Linked DNA regions of Callithrix jacchus. The protein of the gene in region 2 interacts with the protein of the main gene of each other region in a biochemical or structural test. Links are inferred from orthologs where the notes say so. Each region holds a gene or a part of one and is shown on either strand. Other genes may lie near its edges.

Region 1 (2,968 bases), on a different chromosome or scaffold from region 2:
TCTCAGCTCACTACAACCTCCACCTCCCGGTTCAAGCCATTCTCCTGCTTCAGCCTCCTGAGTAGCTGAGATTACAGCTGTGTGCCACCACACACAGGTTTTTGTTTTGTTTTGTTTTGTTTTTTTTGAGACAGAGCCTCAATGTGTCACCTCAGTTCACTGCAACCTACACCTCCCTGGTTCAAGCGATTCTCCTGCCTCAGCCTCCCAAGTAGCTGGGACTACAGGTACAGGCTACCACACCCGGCTAGTTTTTGTATTTTTAGTAGAGACAGGGTTTCAGCATATTGGTCAGGCTGGTCTCAAAACTCCTGACCTCAGGTAATTCACCCACCTCAGCCTCCCAAAGTGCTGGGATTACAGGCGTGAGCCACTGTGCCTGACCAATCTTTATATTTTTACTAGAGACTGGGTTTCACCATGTTGGCCAGGCTGGACTCAAATTCCTAACCTCAAGTGATCTGCCCACCTTGGCCTCCCAAAGTGCTGGGATTATAGGCGTGAGCCACCATGCCTGGCCCTGTGCCAGGACTATAAAGGACACAGTTCAGGCTAAGGGATAAGCCCCTGGAGGAAGATGCCAGACACCTTGAAGAGCAGAGAGGCCCACAGAGAGCTGCCCAGCAGGAAATGTCTAGAAAGCAATGGGGGAAGGAACAAGAATGCACTGTAGGGTACTGTACCTTCCTTTCTGCCACCCCTCACCCTCACCTCTGCCATACTCACCACACCCTCAGGGTCCACCAGTAGCAGATGCTTGGGCTGCCCACTCTGCAAGCCAGTGAGCACATACTGGCCAGGTGTGGTCGTGCTCTCCCGCACCAGGAAGTCCCCGTTGAGCTGCAGCAGTGCCTCAGCCTCCCGCCGGCTCAGCTTCCCATGGAACCAGGGCTCCCCTCGGAGCTGCTCAGCCATGGTGACCGACTGGGGAGGTGGAGGCACCCGAAGAGCATCTTCAAAGGGCTCTGGAGGTGTAGAGAGAGGGTGAGGGGAGGTAGCAGGCACAATACACACCCAAGACCCAGACTTCAGGGAAGGAAAGAGCAGATATAGGCAGGGGAAGGGCCAGAACCAAGTAGGAAGATAGGGATGCAGAGAGGAGAGAGGAGCACTCACTCATGTCAAATAGGTCCCGGGGCGCACTGCCATTGATGGCAGGATTGGGGGGCCCAGCACCACCCCCTGCTTGCCGGGCCTTGTCTAGGTTCTGGACGTTGACGTAGGAGGGATCATCAAAGAGCTCTCTGCCTGCTGAGGAAAGGGAGGCTGTACAGTGATCCCGGTCCTGCCTCCAGGACTCCCCAGCTCTGCCCATCTCGGCTCCCTTCATACCTGGACAGGGTGGTGGAAGTGGCATCTGTTTGCGGACTTCTGGATCTCCTCCAACAGGCTGTCCTATAGGCTGCAAGGATGAAAATAAGGTGGAACCAGAGGCCCTAACCAGCCACTCCCACCCTAGGCCTCCATCCAAACAACTTACCAGTGTAGCTCCCAAGTGGCTGGGGGTCTGGGCAGTGGGCGGAGTGGCTCCTTCCCGAAGCCTCATGTCTACTACCCCCCCAAGAGGGGGTTCCTTCCCCGGGAAGTCATTATAGTACTGATGGTCAGGTGGCTCTTCCTCCTCCTCATCCCAAGCTGAGCCATCAAAGCCAGCCATCCTGAGAGACAGGACAGTGAAGGTGTGGCCGTAAATGTGTGGTGGGCAGGAGGAGGGAACGGAACAGCAGCCATGTATTCGGTATTTACTATGGGTTAGGCCTGAGGCTGAGTGTGTTATATACCTAATCATTTCATTCTCCTGGCAACCCCATAAGATAGGTATTGTTTTCTTTCCTAGTTTTACAGATGAGGCAAATGAGGATCAGTGGTGAAAAGATTTGCCCAAGGTCTCACAACTAAAAGGTGACAGACTCAGATTTAAATTCAGGTTTGACTTTAAAGCTTATGCCCTTGGGCAGGTGCAATGGCTCATACCTGTAATCCCAACACTTTGGGAGGCCAAGGAGGGAGGTTGTTTGAGCCTAGGAGTTCAAGACCAGACAGGGCAACGTAGTGAGACTGCCTCTACCAAAAAAATAATAATACTTAGCCAGGTGTGGTGGCATGCACCTGTAGTCCCAGCTACTCAGGAGGCTGAGGTGGGAGAATCACTCAGCCCAGGATATGGAGGCTGCAGTGAGTTGTGTGATTACACCACTGAACTCCAGCTTGGGCAACACAGCAAGATTCTGTCTCAAAATAAAAAAGTAATGCTCTTGCCCTTGATCACTGTGCTATCTGCCAGCAAGGAAGGGAAGCATTATGTAGTGAGGTGGGGAGAAGGCACTACAGAATAGTTTAACCTCTCCTAATCAGTCCCTCCTGGCGCCACTGCTTATCCCTCACGGCCAGAGGTGGGAAACACTAATCTCAGGGAAAAGAGATATCCTCACAAACCCAAATTCTTGATGGCTTCTGGAAGCATTAAAATACAGAGTGTCAGAGAAATGGGCAAGCAAGAGGGATGGGAGTAGAAAAATCTCATCTAGCCAGAGAGAGAGATGTAACTTGGATGCCTCAGACTGCAGCTCCACCATGAGCAACAGGAGGAAAAGCTGGCCCTGCAGCAAGCAGGGCCTCAAGAGTCTTTCCTTGTGGGCCACAGGAAATGGAAGAATCACAGGAAGGGGGAAGCAGAGGCACGCAGGTTATTCCCTCCCTAAGCCTCTCAGCTCAAGTGTAGGAAGAGCAGCCCTCCTTTCCCAATCCTGTTCTGGGGCTTAAGAGCTGCTGCACATCCTCCCCACCTGCTCACCTGTCATGGGGGGTGACCAGTTTGGGTGGGTTCCTGAGGTATTGTTTGAAGCGCAACTCGAAGGCCTGACCAATGGTGCTGATGACATCCTGGGCAAGCCCTTCAGGACACTCCAGAATGTGGCAGGCTGAGGGCACAGCAGAGGCGGTCATTGAGCTGAGCCCACTGGGAGGA
Region 2 (4,362 bases):
GGCAGGATGAGGTCGGGGAACTTGGGGATCTGAGTGGCCACGGGGCGAGTATACTTTTCTCTGCCCAGTGGACTTTGCTAGGGCAGGAGAGTGAGAGTGTGGCTTCCTTCTACAGTCACGTCTAGAGCAGGGTGGCTCCATGGCCCTGCCCCATCAGCTGCACTTCTTGGGGTCCCTGAGGCTTGATAGGCTTCCAGGCTGGGGGACAAAGCCTGCTCCCTCTGGAGCTGCCGGCGCAGCCCTCAGCCTGGGACTGCCTACTGCCTGCCTTTGCCGTCAGGCCACGGCCATGCTGCGGGGAACAGAGAAAACTAACAGTGGTGGGGTTTGTTTTTCGAGAAGTTCAATCTCTTTGCCTTAAATGCCTTTTTTTTTTTTCTAATATGCCCTTCCTGCCTTTTTTGGTGTAAAGGCGGCTTTCTTTCATGAAATGAGGTGTTGCAAGATGACAGGCCGTTATCATTCCTTTAGTTAGTTTTAGGCCACGTGAAGCCTCGCAGGCGCGCAGCAAGTCTGCAGGCACAGGGTGGCCCACAGCCGCCAGTGGAGCCTGGCCTTGCAGCAGGGGCCTGCTCCCCTCCCTGAGCAGGGGAGAAAGGGGAACCCTGAGCCCAGGGCTTGTCTGGCCAAGGGGTGGAGCTCCTGGCATTTGCAGCCCAGCAGCCTCCGGATGGGAGGTTGCCAGGCTTCAGCTAAGAGGACAGCAGACATCTGTGGGCACCACAGGTCCCTCCCTAAGGAGCAGTCGCTGCTCACCCATCATGGATCTGAGAGTAACTCAGTACAGACAAGGTTTCAGAGAGAAGAGGTGGAGGAAGGAATATGGAAGCTGGCCTGGATCCCAGCAGTTTGCCCCCAGCCAGCATGTGAACAAAGACCTCAGGCTCTGCTCTCTGTCTACTCCCAAAAAGCCAGGGTTGTGGCACCAGAGCTTCTCCAAGCCCTCTCCAGCTCTGGCTGTGCCTCACTCTGACCCTAGATATTAAGATGCTCACAGCGTGGAGTCAGAGAGACCCATGTCCTGTATCTGTAACCTGAGCAACCACAGAACCTGGTCGGAGAGCGGCGGTGAAGGTTAACGAGATACCGTTCCAGATGCCCTCTGCTCAGCCAACACCAAGCAGCCAGGACAACTTCCCACTGGGCCTGGAGAGAAATCCAAGTAATCCACATGGGCAGGGTGGAGTCAGACTGGGCTTGCAGATGCCTAAAAGAATCTCCCTGCCACTTCTAAGGCCCCGGCAGCAGCAGGTCCCCAATGGGGAAGTCTAGGCAGCCTGGGCCTGTGTTCCTTCCCCTGAGGTTTGAGACGGGGGCACAGGAAACCAGTCTTCAGAGGTGGGGCTGCAGACTGCCAGCACAGGCCAGCAGCCAGCTGTGAGCGGGGCTGCTTTGCAGTGCCCCAGCCGACCCCGTATACACTCTGGCTCCCCTTGCTTCCGCCTCTAACCCCCCAAGGCTACATGCATGCCCCACTGGACTGGGGGCAGGAGAGGTTGGGCAACACAGGCTGCTGGTCTCAGCTGCAGCCTCGGGGGCAGACGGCCGTGGCTTTGACTGCTGTCACTCAACCCACCAGGTCCTCAGATTCCTCATCTGCAAAGTAGGCCTTTTAAAGAACCTGCATTTTAGGTTGTGGTGAGGATGAAATGGGCCAACAAATGCTTAGCACAGCGGGTCCCAGCTGTGAGTCAGTGTTCAAAACACGTCTGGGTTCACTGCCCACTTCCCCTCCTGCCTGGAGCAGGGCAAGACCCTGGCTGCTCTGCGGAGCACTTCTGCTAGCCCAGGGATGTTACCTGGGATGTCCAGGCGGACACACCCTTCCCCTGACTACGCTCTGGCACTGCCGAGGCCCCAGTAGAATGAATGGACCAAGAGCTGCCGGGCAAGGGTGTCCTTCAGACACTGGACAGGACGGGGGTTCTAGAAAGGAACCTTCAGCAAGTGGCTGGTTCCTTCATGTCAGCACAGCTGGCACATTCAGAAACATCCCCAACCGGGCAGTGGAAGGAGTTGATGGTGACAGAGACCCAAACTGAGGGGGTGAGGGGTGGGCAGCGGTCACAGCTGAGTGCTCAGGAGAGACAGAAGAGGTTGCTCGCTACTGGTAATGGTGGCTTCCTCTGCTCTCAGGCCCCCGAAAGCAGCTTCTGAGTGAAAGTCCTTTCTTGATTAAACCCACCCTGTAATCTTGGGTCGCCAAACAGCAGCTTCCTCCATGGGCCCAAAGCCTGGGTGCTCCAGGAAGGGTCCCTCTGGCCACCTCTGCTCTTCTCAGGGTTTCTGAGCTGGGCGTCTTTGAACTGCTCTAACACACCCACCTCCAAAGAGCCGTGAGCTTCCTCCTAGCTCAAAGAGCCAGACCCTCTTCTCTCGGTCCTCAGACCCCAAGGAAGCCCCAGGCACCACACAGCTCACGGGAAGCTGGGGTGTCAGATCAGGCCTCAGAGTGGCTCTGACAGCTCCCAGGCTGCAAAAACTGCCATGAGACCAGGTCCCTGAACTCCAAGGTCAAGGTCTAAGGCCAGGGTCTGTGGCAGGGTGGCGGGGAAGTGTGCATGTCAGGTCACTCTGTCCTGTGTGACAGGAGAACAACCCATCCCACTCTGGGCCCTTCGAAGCCCCTCCGTCACCTCTGTGCCCGGGGAAGGAGCAGGTTGTACTCACAGCACGCAGAGGGCATATGCCCGGGAGATGGACTCGCTGGCACGCACGAGGAAGCTCCCGTCCTTGCCAGTCCTGGAGAGCAGCTCCTCCGCCTTGGAGCGGGTGATGTTGCCGTGGTTCCAGCAGGGGACCATGGCGGGCGCGGGGCTCCTAGGCCGGGCCGGCCGGCACCCCCAGGACCCACCCGCCAGCAAAGGGAGCCGAGGCCCCTCCACTGCAACCTGCCTCCTGTTGCCTCTCAGTGGCCTCGGCTGCTGCCACCAGCTTAACTGACTGACTTCCTGTTTCAGGCGTTCAGCGAGGGAAAGGAAACTGAGCTGCGGAGAACTTCCTCATTACAGACACCAAGCAAGCGCGCGCGAGAGACACAGACACAGAGACGGGGGCGAGGGGGGGCGCTCTGGCCGTCCACCGTCTACCACGCCCCGCCACGGCAGCCGCGGCTCTCACGCCGGCTCTCTCCTTCCCGGAAACAGGTCACAGCCCACAGCTAAAGTGTCCAGGAGCAGCTGAAGTCCCGCTGGGCAGAACGATTGGCTGCGGAGACGCAGGAGAGTCGTGGCCGGCTTAGGAAGAAGCGTGGCCTAGCAGGTGTGGGTGGGCCAGAGGACGACCACGTTGGATGCCACGCCCTGGACAGGCCTCCTGAGCCTTCTGCCCTCCGCCAGGGCTTTTCAAGGCCAACCCGGAATCCCCAAAACACCCAAGGGGACACAGCTTTTCAACTGGGACTACGGCCTGCCCAGGACAGAGCAAACTTGAGGGGGCGGGGCATAGTGGAGCCCTGCCCCGCCCCCTCAGAGGCACGGAGCTGCCGCCGGAGGCTGGGAGGCCTTGGGTGCCACCAGCCAAGGGCTCCGAGGTCCAGGTGATGGCTCTGTGACCCCACTACCCTCATTCCCAGGGGCATGGCAGCACAGCTCTGATCCCTGAAGTCTGGCTTGGAGACACACAAAGGGAGCTTGGAGGGGACGTGGACTGTTTACAGCGGGAACAGGCTGGGTTTTCCCCTGGGCGTCTCCAGAAGGCCGAGGAAGCAGGCTCTGAGAGGAGACCACCACAGCGCCACAGGGCGGGCTGGCCACCTGGCCAAGGACGACACTGGCTCCTGAGTCCTGCATCTCAGCAGTCCAGGTGGCCAGTGGGACTGCGCCTCCTCCAAGGCTGGGCATGGCCACGTTCGCCCACTGCTCAAAGGGGAGCTGCCTCTCCAGGGACTGCCATCCAGGACCAGCAATTTCTGAGGGCTCCGTGGTAGACACCCATCCCTCAGCCCCCAGACCTGGACACCCTCCATCCTTGGGTCAGGTCTACCAAAGGCGAAGGGGCACGTGTTGACCTGCTGCACAAGGCTTGCCCCGCACATCCCTTGCCCTCCGGGACAGGATAGCAGACCCCGTCCAGGAGGGGGCACCAGCCGGAGGGCACCACCACATTCAAGCTGTGAGAACCTGGTCACATTTCTTCTCTCTCTCGGCTTCCATTTCCTCTTTTCTAACTTGAAGGGCGTAGCTTGTAAAGGAGCTCACATGTGCCAAGGGGCTTGACATGAGTCACACTGACAGTCATCCCAGAACAGGGGCCCCGGCACCTCCCACCTGTATCGACACGCATGGCAGGCGGGTCTGTGGGGCAGACAAAGCACTCCCACTCAAGAACCTCTGGCCAGGCCTAGAGCCGGGCGTGGATACA
Region 3 (3,645 bases), on a different chromosome or scaffold from region 2:
AGGCTGGAGTGCAATGGTGCAATCTCGGCTCACCGCAACCTCCGCCTCTTGGGTTCAGGCAATTCTGCCTCAGTCTCCCGAGTAGCTAGGACTACAGGCACGCGCCACCATGCCCAGCTAATTTTTTGTATTTTACGGGGTTTCACCACGTTGACCAGGGTGGTCTCGATCTCTTGACCTCGTGATCCACCCGCCTCGGCCTCCCAAAGTGTTGGGATTACAGACTTGAGCCACCGTGCCCGGCCTACATGGTTAATGCTCTTCCCAGGAAACGCAAAGAGCACAGAGGCGGCAACCGAACCGCCCCTGCCACGCCTCCTCCCAAATCAGCTGCCTGCAGGGAAATCTGCGCATTGGGGATCAGAAGGCATGAACTGGGAGAGAGAGCCTAGGAGCCTGCTTGCCTTCCCCCACCACGTACACGCATATACCGAAGCTCCCTGAGGAAAGGGAGATGCTGTGCTCCCAGACACATCCCACTGGACAAGACACAAGATCCGAGGCCCCGGGCAGCAGCACCACCCCAAGGACCTTCCACTCACCTGACTGCTTCCCCTTCTTCTTTCTCCTCCACACACAGAAGCAGGCAAGGGTGCCAAGCAATAGCGTGCTTAGAATCAGGACGATCACCAAAAAAGGCCGAAATCTGAATTCTAAGGAATACAGAAGGCATGAGGACTGAGCGTCAGCTCGCTCTCTTCTTCCTTCTCACCTGCCTGAGGGAGGCTGTCTCAAAACCCCCTCCTTTTGTGGTGTAGTTGATCACCTCACACTCTGTGAACTCACCGTCAAGGTTTACTCTTTGCTCGGTTGGGTAACCTCTTCTGAGTGATGCCAAGGCATGGATATTAATATCAGACAGGCCTGGCTCAAATTCTAACTCTGTGAGCTCTGCACTATTTATTTTACCTCTCTGGGCCTCTCAAAGAGCCTCTCAGATTTTCTCACCTGTAAAAGGGGATAATGTTTTCTACCTATAGGGGTTAATCACATGACCCTCCAAAGTTTAGAGTTCCACAACTGTGGATTCGATGAACTGTGGATCCAGAATATTCAGGGAAAAGAAATTGCATGTGAATACATAGAGACTTTTTTCCCTAAACAATACTGTCATTATTCCCTAAACAATACAGTATAACAACTATTTAAATGGTGTTTGCATTGTATTAGGTAGGACAATTAATCTAGAGATGATTTAAGTAAGGTATACAGGAAGATATGCATGGGTTACATGCAAATACTGCACCTGTTTATGCCAGGGACTTAAACATCCGTGGATTCTGGCATCTGTGGTTGGGGGTGGGTGCTGGAACCAATCCCCCATGGATACTGAAGGACGTGTAAAGCATCTAGCACAACAAATGTTACATTTATCCATTTATTTGCTTTTAACTCAAAAAATATTCATTGTACAGGCAAGTTTTCCATCTCACTTTTCCACTACTCCTGGCTTCATAGGTCTTCCTCATTTGAACTTCTACTTAAAACATTTGTGTCACACATGTAGCCTGATATACAATCCAGCCAACAAGAAAAAGGAAAAGGAATGAAGTGTCCTAGGTACTGACAAGGCTCTTTACAAACATCGTCTCATTTACTCTTAACAGCAGTCCTGTGAGGTACCTATTATCATCCCCATTTTACCCAAGGGGGAAAGAAATTGAGGCTCAAAGATGTTCATGAATCAATGAATCTGCTAGAGATCACAGAGTTTCTTCTTCTTTTTTTTTTTCAAATAGAGACGGGATTACGCCATGTTGTCCAGACTGGTCTCAAACACCTGGGCTCAAGTGATCTACCTGCCTCCCAAAGTGCCAGGATTACAGGCATGAGCCACCACACCTGACCTCTAAGAGAGCACAGAGCTTCTATGAATGATGAAGCCAGTGTCCTTGTCACTACACATTGCCTCAGTCTTTCATTCTTGGTTCGTTTTTTTTTTGTTTTTTTTTTTTTTTGAGACAGAGTCTTGCACTGCTGCCCGTGCTGGGGTGCAGTGGCACAATCTCGGCTCACTGCAATCTCCACCTCCTGGGTTCAAGCAATTCTTCTGACTCAGCTTTCTGAGGAGCTGGGATTACAGGCACCTGCCACAATGCCCAGCTAATTGCTTGTATTTTTAGTAGAAACTGGGTTTCACTATGTTGACCAGACTGGTCTCGAACTCCTGACCTCGTGATCCACCCACCCTAGCCTCCCAAAATGCTGGGATTACAGGCGTGAGCCACTGCGCCTGGCCTGCCTCAGTCTTGTTTCTTTGTTGTCCAGAAGCACTTATTTTTGTTGCCCCAATTTGGCTATAAGTTCCTTACAAATGAGAGCTGTATGCTTTTTTAAAATTTTTTATGTAATGCCCATGTTGTTGGCCCAAGAAGTTTCTGTTTATCTAATAAAAAGTTGTGCCAAGTTAACACAGGTAACTCTTAGGGTGAGCATAAGCAACCCAAGAACTCGTCTAGGTATCCCTGGGATCACTGTGATGCTCCTGCTCCAGGCTACTGCTGCACGGTGTCGTTAACCTCTCAAACTATGTGGCTTGGGGAAAGTTATCACTCAAGAGAAGAGAACAGTTCTCCATCAGCCTCTCCCAGGAAGAAAATTATGTTCAAGCCATTGTAGGACTGTCACTCAGCAAACAATTACACTTTCCCTCTGCAGAGGAAACACTTGCATCTCCCAGAAAGAAATAGGGCTAACATTTTTTTTTATTTTTTTTTCCAGAATCGGATAGGCCTGGCTTTAGAGGAACCATGTGCCTGGAGGCCAGGACTGCGCGGGGAAGGGCTACAAGGCACTGGGAGAGGAGACCAAGGGATTTTATCTCATACCACATCTGTCTTGAGCATGAGCCTGGTCTTGGGGTACACACCTTCAGCCCCTGTTATAGCCCAGTGTGTTCCACTTACCCTGATGGGCATTCTGACAACCTTGAGTGAGATTCAGGGTGTGGCTTTCCCAGCTAACGGGGTTGCTGACATTGCAGGTATATGTGTGCAGGCCATCAACGTCAACCTCCTCCAGGTAGGTGAGGTTACCTGCTCTCTGGATCAGCTTGCTCCCTCTGTACCAAGCATAGGTCACATTGCCATCCCTGGAGACCAAGCAGGACAGAGCCACTTGGCACCTCCCACTGTCCAGGATCTTCCCCTGCCCCTGTAGGCGGGGCTTCTCAATTGTATCTGGAAGCAGAGATTCTGATCAGAAAGGCATTGGAAATACAGAAATTAGAGGCCTATGGGAATCAGAGAGGGCAGTATGAGCAGTCCTGGAGACTCACCAAATACAGAAACCTGGAACGTGGCTCTGTGAATTTCTCCAGATGTATAGGTGGCCTCTAGGCAGTAGAAGCCACTGTCCTGCGGCTGAGCTGCCTCGATGAGAAGAGTTGGGTTCTCAATTTCAAAATGGAATCTATCGTTGGAAGCATTGATAGTCGTCGAGCCATTCTCCCACTGAAATATCTGATTAAATGCCTTACGTGAGGGCAGCTGCATCTTCCATTGAATACTTTCAACCTTCATCTGTGTACTGCTTGGTTGTAACTGAAGACGCTGTCCCGAGATGCTAACCACATGGTCAGCTGGAACTTGGCATTCTAGGAAAGAGAACCCAAGCTGAAGGTAGTGGGAGGAGTGTCAGGCCTGA

What was found.
Region 1: the proteins of INPP5D (region 2) and SHC1 form a complex in vitro, tested with the Homo sapiens proteins (2 studies listed by BioGRID and IntAct, with this or other methods). The link is inferred for Callithrix jacchus from reciprocal best matches to the Homo sapiens genes INPP5D and SHC1.
Region 3: the proteins of INPP5D (region 2) and CD244 interact in a biophysical measurement, tested with the Homo sapiens proteins (2 studies listed by IntAct). The link is inferred for Callithrix jacchus from reciprocal best matches to the Homo sapiens genes INPP5D and CD244.

The regions. Positions count from the first base shown.
Region 1 is NC_133519.1:15,379,934-15,382,901, forward strand, and holds the end of SHC1 (SHC-transforming protein 1), read right to left. Parts: intron 2,922-2,968; coding exon 2,795-2,921; intron 2,260-2,794; exon of another isoform or gene 1,659-2,259; coding exon 1,481-1,658; exon of another isoform or gene 1,403-1,480; coding exon 1,333-1,402; exon of another isoform or gene 1,252-1,332; coding exon of another isoform or gene 1,249-1,251; coding exon 1,117-1,248; exon of another isoform or gene 966-1,116; coding exon 553-965; downstream 1-552. UniProt on the Homo sapiens protein: Signaling adapter that couples activated growth factor receptors to signaling pathways. Participates in a signaling cascade initiated by activated KIT and KITLG/SCF.
Region 2 is NC_133507.1:154,424,653-154,429,014, reverse strand, and holds the start of INPP5D (phosphatidylinositol 3,4,5-trisphosphate 5-phosphatase 1), read right to left. Parts: upstream 2,946-4,362; 5' UTR 2,805-2,945; coding exon 2,671-2,804; intron 1-2,670. UniProt on the Homo sapiens protein: Phosphatidylinositol (PtdIns) phosphatase that specifically hydrolyzes the 5-phosphate of phosphatidylinositol-3,4,5-trisphosphate (PtdIns(3,4,5)P3) to produce PtdIns(3,4)P2, thereby negatively regulating the PI3K (phosphoinositide 3-kinase) pathways.
Region 3 is NC_133519.1:20,750,245-20,753,889, forward strand, and holds part of CD244 (natural killer cell receptor 2B4), read right to left. Parts: intron 3,596-3,645; coding exon 3,278-3,595; intron 3,195-3,277; coding exon 2,907-3,194; intron 654-2,906; coding exon 543-653; intron 1-542. UniProt on the Homo sapiens protein: Heterophilic receptor of the signaling lymphocytic activation molecule (SLAM) family; its ligand is CD48.